3 linked regions of the Callithrix jacchus genome follow. The protein of the gene in region 3 interacts with the protein of the main gene of each other region in a pairwise test. Links are inferred from orthologs where the notes say so. Each region holds a gene or a part of one and is shown on either strand. Other genes may lie near its edges.

Region 1 (3,953 bases), on a different chromosome or scaffold from region 3:
CTAATAGAACCCCAAATAAAATCCATTTACGTCACCACACACTCATTAAGCACCTGTTAATAAAACCTATTCTGAAATACTCTGACATGTTGGTTAAGTGGATAAAATACCCTCGGCGAGGCTGGGCGTGCCGTGGCTCATGCCTGCAATCCCAGCACTTCGAGAGACTGAGGTGGGTGGATCACGAGGTCAGGAATTCAAGAGCAGCCTGGCCAAGATGGTTGAAACCTCGTCTATACTAAAAATACAAAAATTAGCCGGGAATGGGGGCAGACGCCGGTAATCCCAGCTACTTGGGAGGCTGAGGCCGAGAACTGCTTGAACCTGGGAGTAGAAGGTCGCAGAGATCCGAGATCGCGCCACCCCACTCCAGCCTGAACAACAGTCTCAAGGGGGAAAAAAAAAATCCCTTTGGCGCATTGCCAAGCAGGTTCCTCGCCGTCAGCAGCATAATTTATGGTTTTCGCTGAGGCTTAAGTATCCGTGATGTGAGATTCTCCCTAATTTCCCGATTTCTAAAACCCTTCAGAATCTCCCTCCACCCACACGATGTGGCAGCGAGAAAAACCGTATTCTGTTTACACGTCAACGGTAAGAAGAGAACACATATTTTGCTAGGTCAACAAATCATGCAAGATCTCCACCCGAGAGATCAGTAGCCCCTTCCCAGTGAACCCTTCTAAGAGCCTGGAGATGAGTAGTAGGGCTGGACAGAACCAAGCAAGGCTGGACCAGAGGAGCCGACCGTGAGAACCCTTCCCCCAAGCGCAGCGCTCGGCCGGTTCTTTCTTCCCCGGGCGCCTGCGCAGCGCACTCTCCGGCCACCGCACGCCTCCTCAGCAGAGCCTGGAGACGTTGACGTCACCGCGCAGACTGCAAGCAACCCTTCGTTCCTTCAAGGAAAATGAGTCCACGCACCTTCGGCTTTTCTTAGCCCCCAGAAAATGTCCTCCCTCCTTCCATCCCAGTGCCAACGACTTCCCCAGCCCGTCTCCTTTTGGCGGGACTTCTCCGTACTTTCGTTGGACCCCGAAGGCGGCGGAGAGGAAGAGAAAGGGTGAAAGACCAATTCGCGTTGTTTACAAGGAGTAGGCGAGTCTAGGAATCGATCCGCGAGGGCGGAGCCGAGGAAGCCGGCACTTTTTCCTCCCTTCCCCTCCCTCCCCAGCCTTCCCCGCGAGCGGACGCGGCAGCGCCTCTGCCTCGCTTTTTCTTATTTTTTTCCCCCCTTTCCCCTTTCTTTTTTTTTTTTCCCCCTCCCCCCCTTTCACCATTTCCCCTCGGAGGCGTTTTCCCCGGGCAGGGGCAGAGCCGGTCTCACCCCCCGCCTCTCCCCGGCCCCCGCCGCCCTATGGCGAAAGGGAGCCCCCTCCCCACTCGGGCTCGAGCGGCCGCGGCCTTAGGCCGGGGGTCATCATGGAATTAATTCGCTGACGAATCCAGAGGCCGCAGCCGTGCGTCCCGCTCGAGCGCTAGCGCCCGCGTCCCCCGGCCCGCTTCTGCCTCTTCTCCCTCCTCAGTCGGCCCCGTCGTCCCGCGCGCACCGCCGCCGCGCGTCGAGGAGAATGAAGTGGTAACGGGCTGCCGGATGACCCCTCGTCACCATCGTGAGGCCTACAGCTCTGACGTGGAGGAGGAGGAGGAGGAAGAAGAGGAGAAGGTGAGGGGTGGGGGGCGGGGGCGGGGGGCTTGACGCGTCTCCGCGGCCGGCGCCGACGCGCTGGGGCCCCGCCGCTCCCCCAGCGCCACCCGAGTGGCAGCACTCGTAGCTGCGCTCTGCTTGCTGGTGACCCGCCCTCCCGCATCTCCCCAGTCGGGGGAACCTCGGGGCCACCCTCTTCGTCCTCCCGCCCCAAACCAACCCGGTACCTGCCCAGTTGAAAACGGCCTTACTGTGTTCCCTTTAAGGCCAGTTTTTGTGTTAGCGAGTAACTTTTTTTTGTGGCAGCAGCAAATTACCTACTCTATAGTGCGTGTTGGAGGCTCGGCGAGTCTGTGTTTATACACAAAGAAGGGGACACACCCCCACCTTAGGATGAACGGTCCTGCGGGAACTCCGGGAAGATGCCTAAGTTTGCAAATAGGAGTAAATGCCAAGTGAATGGGGTGAACTTCTGGTGTGGGAAATTCGGGGGAGGGCAACATTACCCAGGGCTTGGGGCGGTTGGGTGGGGGATTCCGGAGGAGGTGAGATTTGAGTTGTACCCAAAAAGCCAGATTAAATACCGGAATTTGAAGGAGAGCAAATGGGCCTCTGATGGAGCTGGGGGTTCCGTTGCAGATCGTTTTGGCAGAAGTTGAGAATTCGGTAGCACAACAGTGGGAGGTGTTTCGGGAGGTAGAATGGATTCGGACTCTGAACTAAAATATTTAGGTTTTATTCTGTCAGTGGGGAGCCACTCTGTTTTGAGCAGCAGATCATTACAATAATGATGTTAAATAACAACACTTGAGGCTTATCTGCCAGGCATTCTCGTAAGTGGCTTGCAATTCATTTAATCCTCCCAACGCTGGTAGTAGGAGCCTCATCTTACAGATGAGGAAAACTGAGACCTACAAGATTAACTTTCTCCTTAGGCAACACGGCTAAAACCCGGTAGCCAGAATTAAGTCTGACTCTACGCTGTGTGGTCTCTGACCTGAAAATGGGTTTGTTGAAATAACTGCTTCTAGCTTTTCCAGGTCGTTTGTGGCACATGAAATAGAAAGGATTGGTCAAACAGATTAAGAAATAATGGACGGAAAAGATTTAGATTGGTTAATTTGGGACCAGAGAATCTCAAAGAGATTCTGAGCCTCTGGACTAGAAATTTCTTAATACTGATGAAGTATCAAGAAATACACAATCAGCATGTGTTAGGGAAGTTCAGTAAAGTTGATCTGCAGTTACAAATAGTGAGTTTATGTGGTAATGTGACATCCTGGTAGGTTAGAATGGGTCTTACAATATGTCTTGCTCAAGATTGGAAGTGAGAGTCTTTGTTTTGTTTTGATTGTGTAACATTAAAAATGAATATTCATCTTCCTGTGTATGTGTCTTTGTCTTTAAAATGGGCTTTATGGCTGAAATGGGGGTGTAGTGAAAAAATAAAAAACTAGAAAAAAAGGGACTTACTATTACCAATTTCATGAAGTTGTGGGAAGATTACATGAGTTAATATGGCATAGCACTTTGAACAATAGGTGGCCAAGTAGTAAGCACTGCGTGCTTTACTTTTTAAGCTTTTTACAAGTGAAGCTGTTATTTATTAGGCATAATGCTAAATTCTGGAGATGGACATGAAAGAATTCATTATAATAGGAAAGGCAAGTCTTCCAATAATCACGGAGCAATTAAATGTAACAGTAGAATTATGTCCAAGTACAGATGAAGGAAGGCAGGGCACAACTGCACAAATTTAGAGTCTTACAGACTGATGTAAACTTTAGGAAGGGAGATATGAGCTAGAGGACATTTAAAGTTGAAAGAACAGTTTTTGTACATCCTTGGAGATCAGGAAAGAGCATACACTTGGAATTGCAAGTACCTTTATTGTTTCTAATGCATAAAAAAGTCAAGGAGTGAATGGTAGAACTTCAGGTGTCTTGTATGGTCACATTAATCCCTCCTTTCAGAATGGGAACTAAGATTCAGAACTCAGCACCAGTACAGGATTATTAATGGAATTGGTATGATGATGATAGTAAATACGGTAATACCTATTAGTGAAGTTGTTTATATTGTATACCCAGCACTGTGCAGCACTTTTCCTTAGAGCAGCAGGGGGCCGTGTATATATATCTGAAGTAGTTACGCTGTACAATAAGCATTACCTATTACCTCAGACATTTGATAAGCGTGGAGAAAGGAGAAGCAGCAGCAGTTGAGAAAATGGGAGGAGAAATGTGAAACTGGTTTAAACTTGTGTGTGTGTAAAAAAATGCCAACCAAAATAGTTTTATGTTATTTCCTG
Region 2 (4,038 bases), on a different chromosome or scaffold from region 3:
CTCCCCCACCCCCTCCAACTTCTGGATCTCTGTACAAACCCTTAGGCTGCCTCCACAGGTGAGTGCTGCTGGGGGTAGGGCTGGGCCCACCCTGAAGGGGTTCTCCCTGTGGGCTGCAGGAGGGAGGGAGGATGAGGAATGACTGCCTGAGAGGGCCCGTGCCCAGTTCCCCCACCCTCTTTGGTCTGGCTGAGGCACCTGAAGCTCTGGGGACTTCTGGCTGAGGTCAGCAAAGGCATCACCCAGTGCATGCTGGGTCTGCAGCAGGCTGTAGAGGTGGGCTGTTAGTGCCCGGCCCAGCTGCAGGACACTCTCATACTTGCGCTTCGTCTCACGCAGCAACTCAATCTGTAGCTCTAGCTCCAGGTCCACAGTCCGTGAGCCTCGACCAAATCGTTCTGATAATAGTTGCTTTGTGCACTGATTGGGAAATGGGGGAATAGGTCAGAGACCCTAATAGCCTCCCCACACAACAATATCTATCCCAGCACCCCCAGGCTCCTACTCTCAGCCACAGATGAGGTATTTATGATCATGAGAAAAAGGGAAAAAAGGTACCCATAAGGAGTTTTGGGGAAGGGAGAGGTGCTTAAATTCTACCTTATAGGTGTTGATGCCCCATTTCTTGACAATGTCAAACTTCTCTCCAGCGATGCCCCGAGCCACCTCATCTCCAGGGCCAGCAGGAGTGGTGCTGTGAGATGGATGGCGGCCAGACCCTAAAGGATCAAGTTCTCTGACACCAGCCTCTCTTAGACATATGACACCTCTGTGGCCCCACCCATACTTCTCTCCCAGCACATGAAATTGACTTCCCTGAAGGAAATGCTAAAGACAACTGGATTCTACTGCTTACTAGGAGGAACTCGAATCTTGCACGGTGAGAACCAAATCCTGGTATATATATGACTTCCTTAGGGGTTGGAGGAGGGGTTTGCAGGGAGTTGCTGGTGTACAGGGGCAGAGGAAACAGAAGAAAATACACCGACTTTGGGGGTAGCAGGAGTAAAGGATGGTGGATCATGCTAACAAGAAACCTGGTTGCATTCCCATGTGGAATCTTAGTGTGAGATTCAGGACTGTTTGTTCCTCTAAACTTTAGAATCTAAAATAAAATTCTGAGAAGCCTCACAAAGTTCCAACTCAGCCTCAAGCTGTAGAGTAGGGCATTCCTGTGAAGTAGGTCTTAACTTTGCTCAGGTGGTGGCAGAGAAAGGACAAATGAGCCATTTCAGGGGCCAAATAGCAAAAGGGAAGTGGATGGACAATGCTGGGAGTTGCTCTTGGGCTGAGGAGAGTCCATGGGGTTCATACAAGCAGAAGTTCCCAAGATATCTAGACATAATTTAAGCTTTCCTTGACATATCCTATGCTTCCCCAAACCATTCCTGTCCCCTCCTCCACCCAAGCTTCCTGTTTCTGAACATTCATACCTGTGGGGATGAGTCCATCACCAGAGCCCCCATAGCCACCAGACACAATGCTGGTTTCATTGAGGTTGGGTCCTGACACCATCACCTGCTGGAGGTCCTATAGGCCAGAGAAGAGGGATTGCTTCAGGAACATAGGTGGAGCAGAAGCATTTTGGAGGTGGGAACAAGTTTGGATTCAAGCATCATAAAGTCAGTATACAAGGGAACTCTGCACAGAATCAGAATGATATGTAAAAAGAATGGAGTCAGATAAGTCAGGGGAAGGCTACTGGAATCGGGGGTGAGAACCCAGGGCTTAGAAATTGGATTCCTAAATTGAAACAATTAGAAAAATCAAACAGAAGCACCTGCTCCAGCCCATCATCTTCAGGAAGCTGCCTGGCTTCGCCGTTCCCGTGGATAGGGATCTCCATTGTGGCTGCCTTCCCTAGGATCCCGTCCGTCATGGCTAGGGAAGGTATTGGAGTAAAACTCTCCACCCCAGCACCCTGCAAAGCCCAACACAGAAGTTCTGGACACCGGCCAGCACTCTAGAAGAAGGAGGCCCCCCCTGTCATTTCTGAGGTTTCAAAGGCTGTCGCAGGGTTTGAGTGTCCCAGCGTTTGGCCACCATTCCTTTCTTCAGGTGTATGTATTTCTCCCCTCCAAAATGCACATGTGTACATAGGCACACCAAAGCACTGTGTCTCCTCACAAGTCCCCAGTCTCACCAGGACTCTGGTGATTATTCATATACTCATTCAGTCATTCAGCAGACATTTAGTGGGTGCCTCCTATGTGTCAAGCACTATTTCTAACAATTAAAACACAACAGTGAAGAGGGAAAGCCCGCTCTCTTAGAACTTATCTCCATGCAGGCGTGCTTATGCTGAGCCTTTCCAGGGCTCCGGTCTTCACCCCCCCGCCCAATTCAGGTTTGTTCTCCATTGCTTGGCCTTTCACACTCCTTTAGTGTTTCTTCCCCCTTCCTTCAGGGGGTCTCCCCCTCCTCTGTCTCATGCACCTCCTCTTCCTCGGGCCCTCCCCACCAGGCCTTAGTTAGATCAGTTGATGTATGTTCCCAGTCTCTGGTAAAAGCCTCTCTCCCAGGATAGCGGTGATCCCTTCCACAGTCAGTTATGTCTCTCAGGTGTGTGAGTCCCCGCCCCCACCCCCATACACCTGGACATCAGGTGTGTCCTCATCCTTCCCCAGGGCTCGAGGCATCTTGCCCTCTGGACAGGTTTGTGCGTTCAACTTCCCGTCGCCCAAGCATGTCCCTCTCACCTCGGGCCGGGCCGCTCTTCCCCTCAGGGCGCCAGGCCCGGGCCGCGCGGGGACCTCGGGCTCCAGTTCCAGTCGCGATCCTAGCAGCAGGTCAGGGACTCGGCGGAAGTGACGTCCTCTCCGGGCAGAAGAAGCCGGCCACGTCGCAGATTATAAGGGCGGAGGTGACGTCGCAGCCGCGGGCAGGGCGATGCTCGAGCTAGTTCTCCAGAGCGGCGAGAGGTTCCTTCCGGGGCGGCACCGAGAAGCTGAAACGGAAGTGGCGTAGGGCATGCGCCGGTGGCGTGATGGAGCAGCAGCCTCAGCAACAACAGCAACTTAGAAACGTGAGTGAGAACTAAGTCGTTGCGGGGCCAGAAGTTCAGCTCGCATTCCTGCGCACATCGCGGGAACCCCATGGAGCCAGGGATTTGAGGGCTGGAAACATCGGGCTATGGTGCGCGGGCCTGGGAAACTATGGGCGGCGAGACCTTGAGTAGAAGTGTGGTCTCCCTTTTCTCCCAGCTGCGTGACTTCCTGTTGGTCTACAATCGGATGACAGAACTCTGCTTCCAGCGCTGTGTGCCCAGCTTGCACCACCGAGCTCTGGACGCTGAGGAGGTGGGGCACTGTGTAGGGAAGTTACGCTACAGATAGTTTAGCAGTAGACTGCTTCCCTCCTCTCCCCACTTCCCCTATCTCTGGCCCTGGCCTTTTCCACGGCCCTCACCCCTAGGCTGGGCATGGGGAAGGAAGGGGGCGGGCCTGACAGGAAAGACACCTTTACCCTCCTCTTAAACCCTGTCTTCCTTCTAGGAGGCCTGTCTGCACAGCTGTGCTGGGAAGCTGATCCATTCCAACCACCGCCTCATGGCCGCTTACGTGCAGCTCATGCCTGCCCTGGTACAGCGCCGCATCGCAGACTACGAGGCTGCCTCGGCTGTGCCAGGCGTTGCTGCTGAACAGCCTGGGGTCTCTCCATCAGGCAGCTAGCCATCCCCAACCCCACGAGGGAAGGCCCTGGACGGACTTCTCTGATTGAAGGACCCCAGTGGACCTTGGGGTTGGTGAATCCTATACAGAGAGAATTCGAGGTTGCCTGAAAGCTGGGTGTCCTTGCTCCTTTTCCTCGAGCCAATAAACCCGCTTTTTATTCTGTTTGATTTATATTCTGGGCAAGGAAGCTTTGCCGACTTAATTGGCACAATCCTTTGTTCTGTCATTTAGTGCATATCCGCTGGCTTCAGCCCTGGCAGCTGAGGAATTTTCTTCTATATGTAGAAGGAAAACCTGAGCATTTGTAGGCATCTGGTTAAAGCAGGCTCTATGTGTACAGTTTTAAGATGGGTACTATGTCATG
Region 3 (3,500 bases):
TCAAAAAAAATAAATAAGAACACAGTCCATTTGTGGATGCTAGAAAAAAAATCTTATTTTTTTCACTAGAACTATTATATTTATTTACTTTATAAATATGATCAAAAATTCATTTTAATAACTTAAAATTTTTGAAATGTGTGTATAATCACGTACCTGCTTTCAAGACGAGTAACCTCTGCCTGCAGAAGTTCCTCTCTAGTATGGGTAAAATTCAACTGGGACAGCACGCTGTCTAAGTCCCCCTGCCCTTGAGAAGTGTACTTCTTTTCTGCCGGAGAGTCTTCCCCTGGCCTATGGAAAGACATAGGATGATTGTTAAGGCCTTTATCTCTGCCAACAAAAAACAATGCACATCTAGTTTGTATTTTCCAATCATTTTTGGTAAACTCTTTGGAACTCATTTATAAATGAGTTCCTGCTTTATAAAAACAATATTGGGAATGCCTCCTGCTTTATAAAAACAATATTGGGAAAGGAAAGCAAGAGTCCAGAGATGCTCCTTCTTTAAAAAGTCAGCGGCAATTTACTCCCTTCTTAACTGAGATTTGGCCTATTTTTCAAGGGAAAAAGACAAAATGGCAAAATCACTTCACTGACACTTGAAACCCTGTACCAAAAAAATTGAAAAGTTACAGGAGAATTCTGGCAAAAATAAAAGTGTGCAACAGACTTTAATCAAGCAAGAAGGCTAGCCCAATGGCTGGCTGCTACTAATGATAAGCAGCTACTAATCACTCCCTATTCCACCAAGAAAGTGAGGCCTCCAGGAGACAGGAATGACACAGAAGACATGAATGACAATTCCCTTCACATCTGGAGATTCACCAAGCATGCAAACTGACCAAGAGGTTTCTAACTTTTTAAACATGAGAGTCTGAGTCTCTGTTAGGAACCCAAACTGGAGGCAGAAGAAAACTAACCAAACAAAATTTTATAACACCTTAAAAACCTAACTCAGATATGATCAAACATAAAATTATAAATATGCAATATTAAAACTAGTGCTTGGACAGGCACAGCAGCTCATGCCAGTAATCCCAGCATTTGGGAGACTGAGGTGAAGGGATCACCTGAGGTCAGGAGTTCAAGACCAACCTAGCCAACATGGTGAATCCCCATCTCTAAAAATACAAAAAGTAGCCAGGGGTGGTGGCGTGCACCTGTAGTCCCAGCTACGCAGGAGGCTGAGGCAGGAGAATCACTTGAATCTGGGAGGTGGAGGCTGCAGTGAGCCAGGATTGCACCACTGCACTCCAGCCTGGGTGACAGAAGAAGACTCTATCTCAAAATAAAATAAAATTAAAATTAAAATTAAATTAAATAAACCTAGTGCTTAATGCCTAGCCATTAAGTGGCTAAGATGAGTAATATTGAAGGTTAAATTTACCTTAGAGCTTCTGCAGCGTGTTGAGCGTCAGCTGCCTTTATTTTTTCTTGTAATTTCTCCTTTAGCATTCTTTCCTCACGGATGAAATTTTCTTGAGACTGAAGAGCTGCCCTCAATTCTCTCTTTTCTTCCTGCAGAGCCTGCAAAAAAGTCAGATATGATTATAATGTTCTTTCAATTCCGTTTTCTTCCTGCATAACCTGCAAAATACTCAGAAATTGCTAAGCCAGATATTATTACAATTTTTCTATTTCATGAGGAAGCCAGGAAGTCAGACTATTAAGTTATGTAACAGTTACAACATTAACACTTATAAAGTAGGAAAGAAAGTATAGATTGCAGAACCTAGTTCTAGCTGAACAACACTCTTAAAACACTCATACACACACTTCCCCCAATTATAGTGATTTTAAAATACACCTCTAATAGTTTTTCAGATTCCCTCAATTTTTCTTCTTTTTGCTGCTGCTCCTGGAGAACAGTCATATTGGTTCCAACCAAGTCATTGACCCTCATGGTGAGGCGCTCTATTTCCAACTCATTGGCACAGATAGTATCATTGGCCCGCTCCAGTTTACTGCTTAAGTGCTGAATTTCTGATTGGCTGGAAAGTTCCACAGACTCTAATTTCTGTTTCCGATTGGCAAGCTGAGCCTAGAAACACAAACCATCAATCAATAGGTAAAAGGGAAATGATAATGAATGAATAAGCAAGACTAAAATGAACCTACTATTTCCATGAAAGCATAACGCACTGGCTCAATAAAATACGTATGCTGAGAAGGGGTAAGAAAGAATTGAGAGGCTGGGCATGGTGGCTGCAATCCTAACACTATGGGAGGCTGAGGAGGGCAAATCGCTTGAGCTCAGGAGTTGGAGACCAGCCTGGAAATATGGCGAAACCCCGTCTTTATTAAAAAAAAAAAATACAAAAATTACCCGAGCATGGCAACACAGGAGGATCACTCAAACCCAGGAAGCAGAAGTTGCAGTGAGCCAAGATCACACCACTGCACTCCAGCCTGTGTGACAAAGTGAGACCCTGTCTCAAAAAAATAAATGAAATAAAATAATGGATAAAGTAAAGGGATTCCTCAGAAGAGATGCTACAGTATTCTACCTACTTACACAGAAATTCAACCACAACCTGTCTAGAGTTATTTCCTATTTAAAACATAGGAAACAGGAGCTATAAGGCATTATTCTATTTCTGATGGAAGTTCAGTTATTAGAATTTTAAAATCACTAAATATGTAGTTTAAATTCCGCCCCCCCCCACTTAGAGCATGTTGTAATTATTCTGTTTTAACATTACAAACATTCATATTTAGATTAATCAAAGTGACCATAAAATGCTCTTTAAATTAAAAGAAATGGGGAAATTGTGGACTTTTGTTTATTGGAGAAAAAGGGGCTTATAAGGCAGAAGAGACTGGTTCTGTCATCAGTTTTTGGACACTTCCTGAGTTAAAAGACGTAAATACAGTGCATCTCAAATTGGTTTCTCTCAATGACATATCTACTGAGTACTATGTTTTAGGCTATGCATCTCAGCAATATTGGTTTTCAGCTCCCAACTTTCTAGTTTTTACAAGTTTTAATCCAGCATCCTTGTACTTCATCTACAAACTTAAGATGAATATAAATCATCTGTGGAGGTAAACTTCCCTTATTCTAAATATTTCTAAAGGGAAAAACACACAGTTTTATTTTTAAAATACAAGTAGAGATATCTCTGGGAAACTGTTGCAGATCTAAAGATTTTATAATTTATAATACAGGTCCAAATACTATACTATATATTGCAGTCAAGTAAAGTAGATGCTAAAAAGTTCCCATAAGCCAGAGAGAGTGTAGAAGAAAGGTGACGAGACAGACAAATACTCTTTGTATAAATTACAAATCAAGATTTCAGTGCCAAGAGCCATTTTTCTTTTTACCAGATCCCCACAATGGTATGAAGAAAGAACATCAACATTTAGGTTTAGATTCACTAGAACAATTGCTAAGCATGGAACTGTCTCCAAACTTTCGAATACAATATAAACTTTTTTCCAAGAGGAAATCTTATATAGAATCCTGTACAGAATAAATAAATGTGCAGATTGGG

The links. The genes of interacting proteins can lie anywhere in the genome.
Region 1: the proteins of CEP63 (region 3) and CCNI interact in a two-hybrid assay, tested with the Homo sapiens proteins (2 studies listed by BioGRID and IntAct). The link is inferred for Callithrix jacchus from reciprocal best matches to the Homo sapiens genes CEP63 and CCNI.
Region 2: the proteins of CEP63 (region 3) and ARFIP2 interact in binary tests that used the Homo sapiens proteins (3 or more experiments, as listed by UniProt). The link is inferred for Callithrix jacchus from reciprocal best matches to the Homo sapiens genes CEP63 and ARFIP2.

The regions. Positions count from the first base shown.
Region 1 is NC_133504.1:120,960,686-120,964,638, forward strand, and holds the start of CCNI (cyclin-I), read left to right. Parts: upstream 1-1,153; 5' UTR 1,154-1,660; intron 1,661-3,953.
Region 2 is NC_133511.1:72,167,111-72,171,148, forward strand, and holds the start of ARFIP2 (arfaptin-2), read right to left. Parts: upstream 2,801-4,038; 5' UTR 2,700-2,800; intron 1,922-2,699; 5' UTR 1,880-1,921; coding exon 1,781-1,879; intron 1,531-1,780; coding exon 1,434-1,530; intron 720-1,433; coding exon 601-719; intron 421-600; coding exon 40-420; intron 1-39. Other genes in the region: TIMM10B (mitochondrial import inner membrane translocase subunit Tim10 B), read left to right, coding at 3,156-3,299, 3,495-3,671. UniProt on the Homo sapiens protein: Plays a role in constitutive metalloproteinase (MMP) secretion from the trans Golgi network. May have important functions during vesicle biogenesis at certain cargo subdomains, which could be predominantly utilized by secreted MMPs, such as MMP7 and MMP2.
Region 3 is NC_133518.1:49,629,266-49,632,765, forward strand, and holds part of CEP63 (centrosomal protein of 63 kDa), read right to left. Parts: intron 2,045-3,500; coding exon 1,811-2,044; intron 1,531-1,810; coding exon 1,391-1,530; intron 295-1,390; coding exon 157-294; intron 1-156. UniProt on the Homo sapiens protein: Required for normal spindle assembly.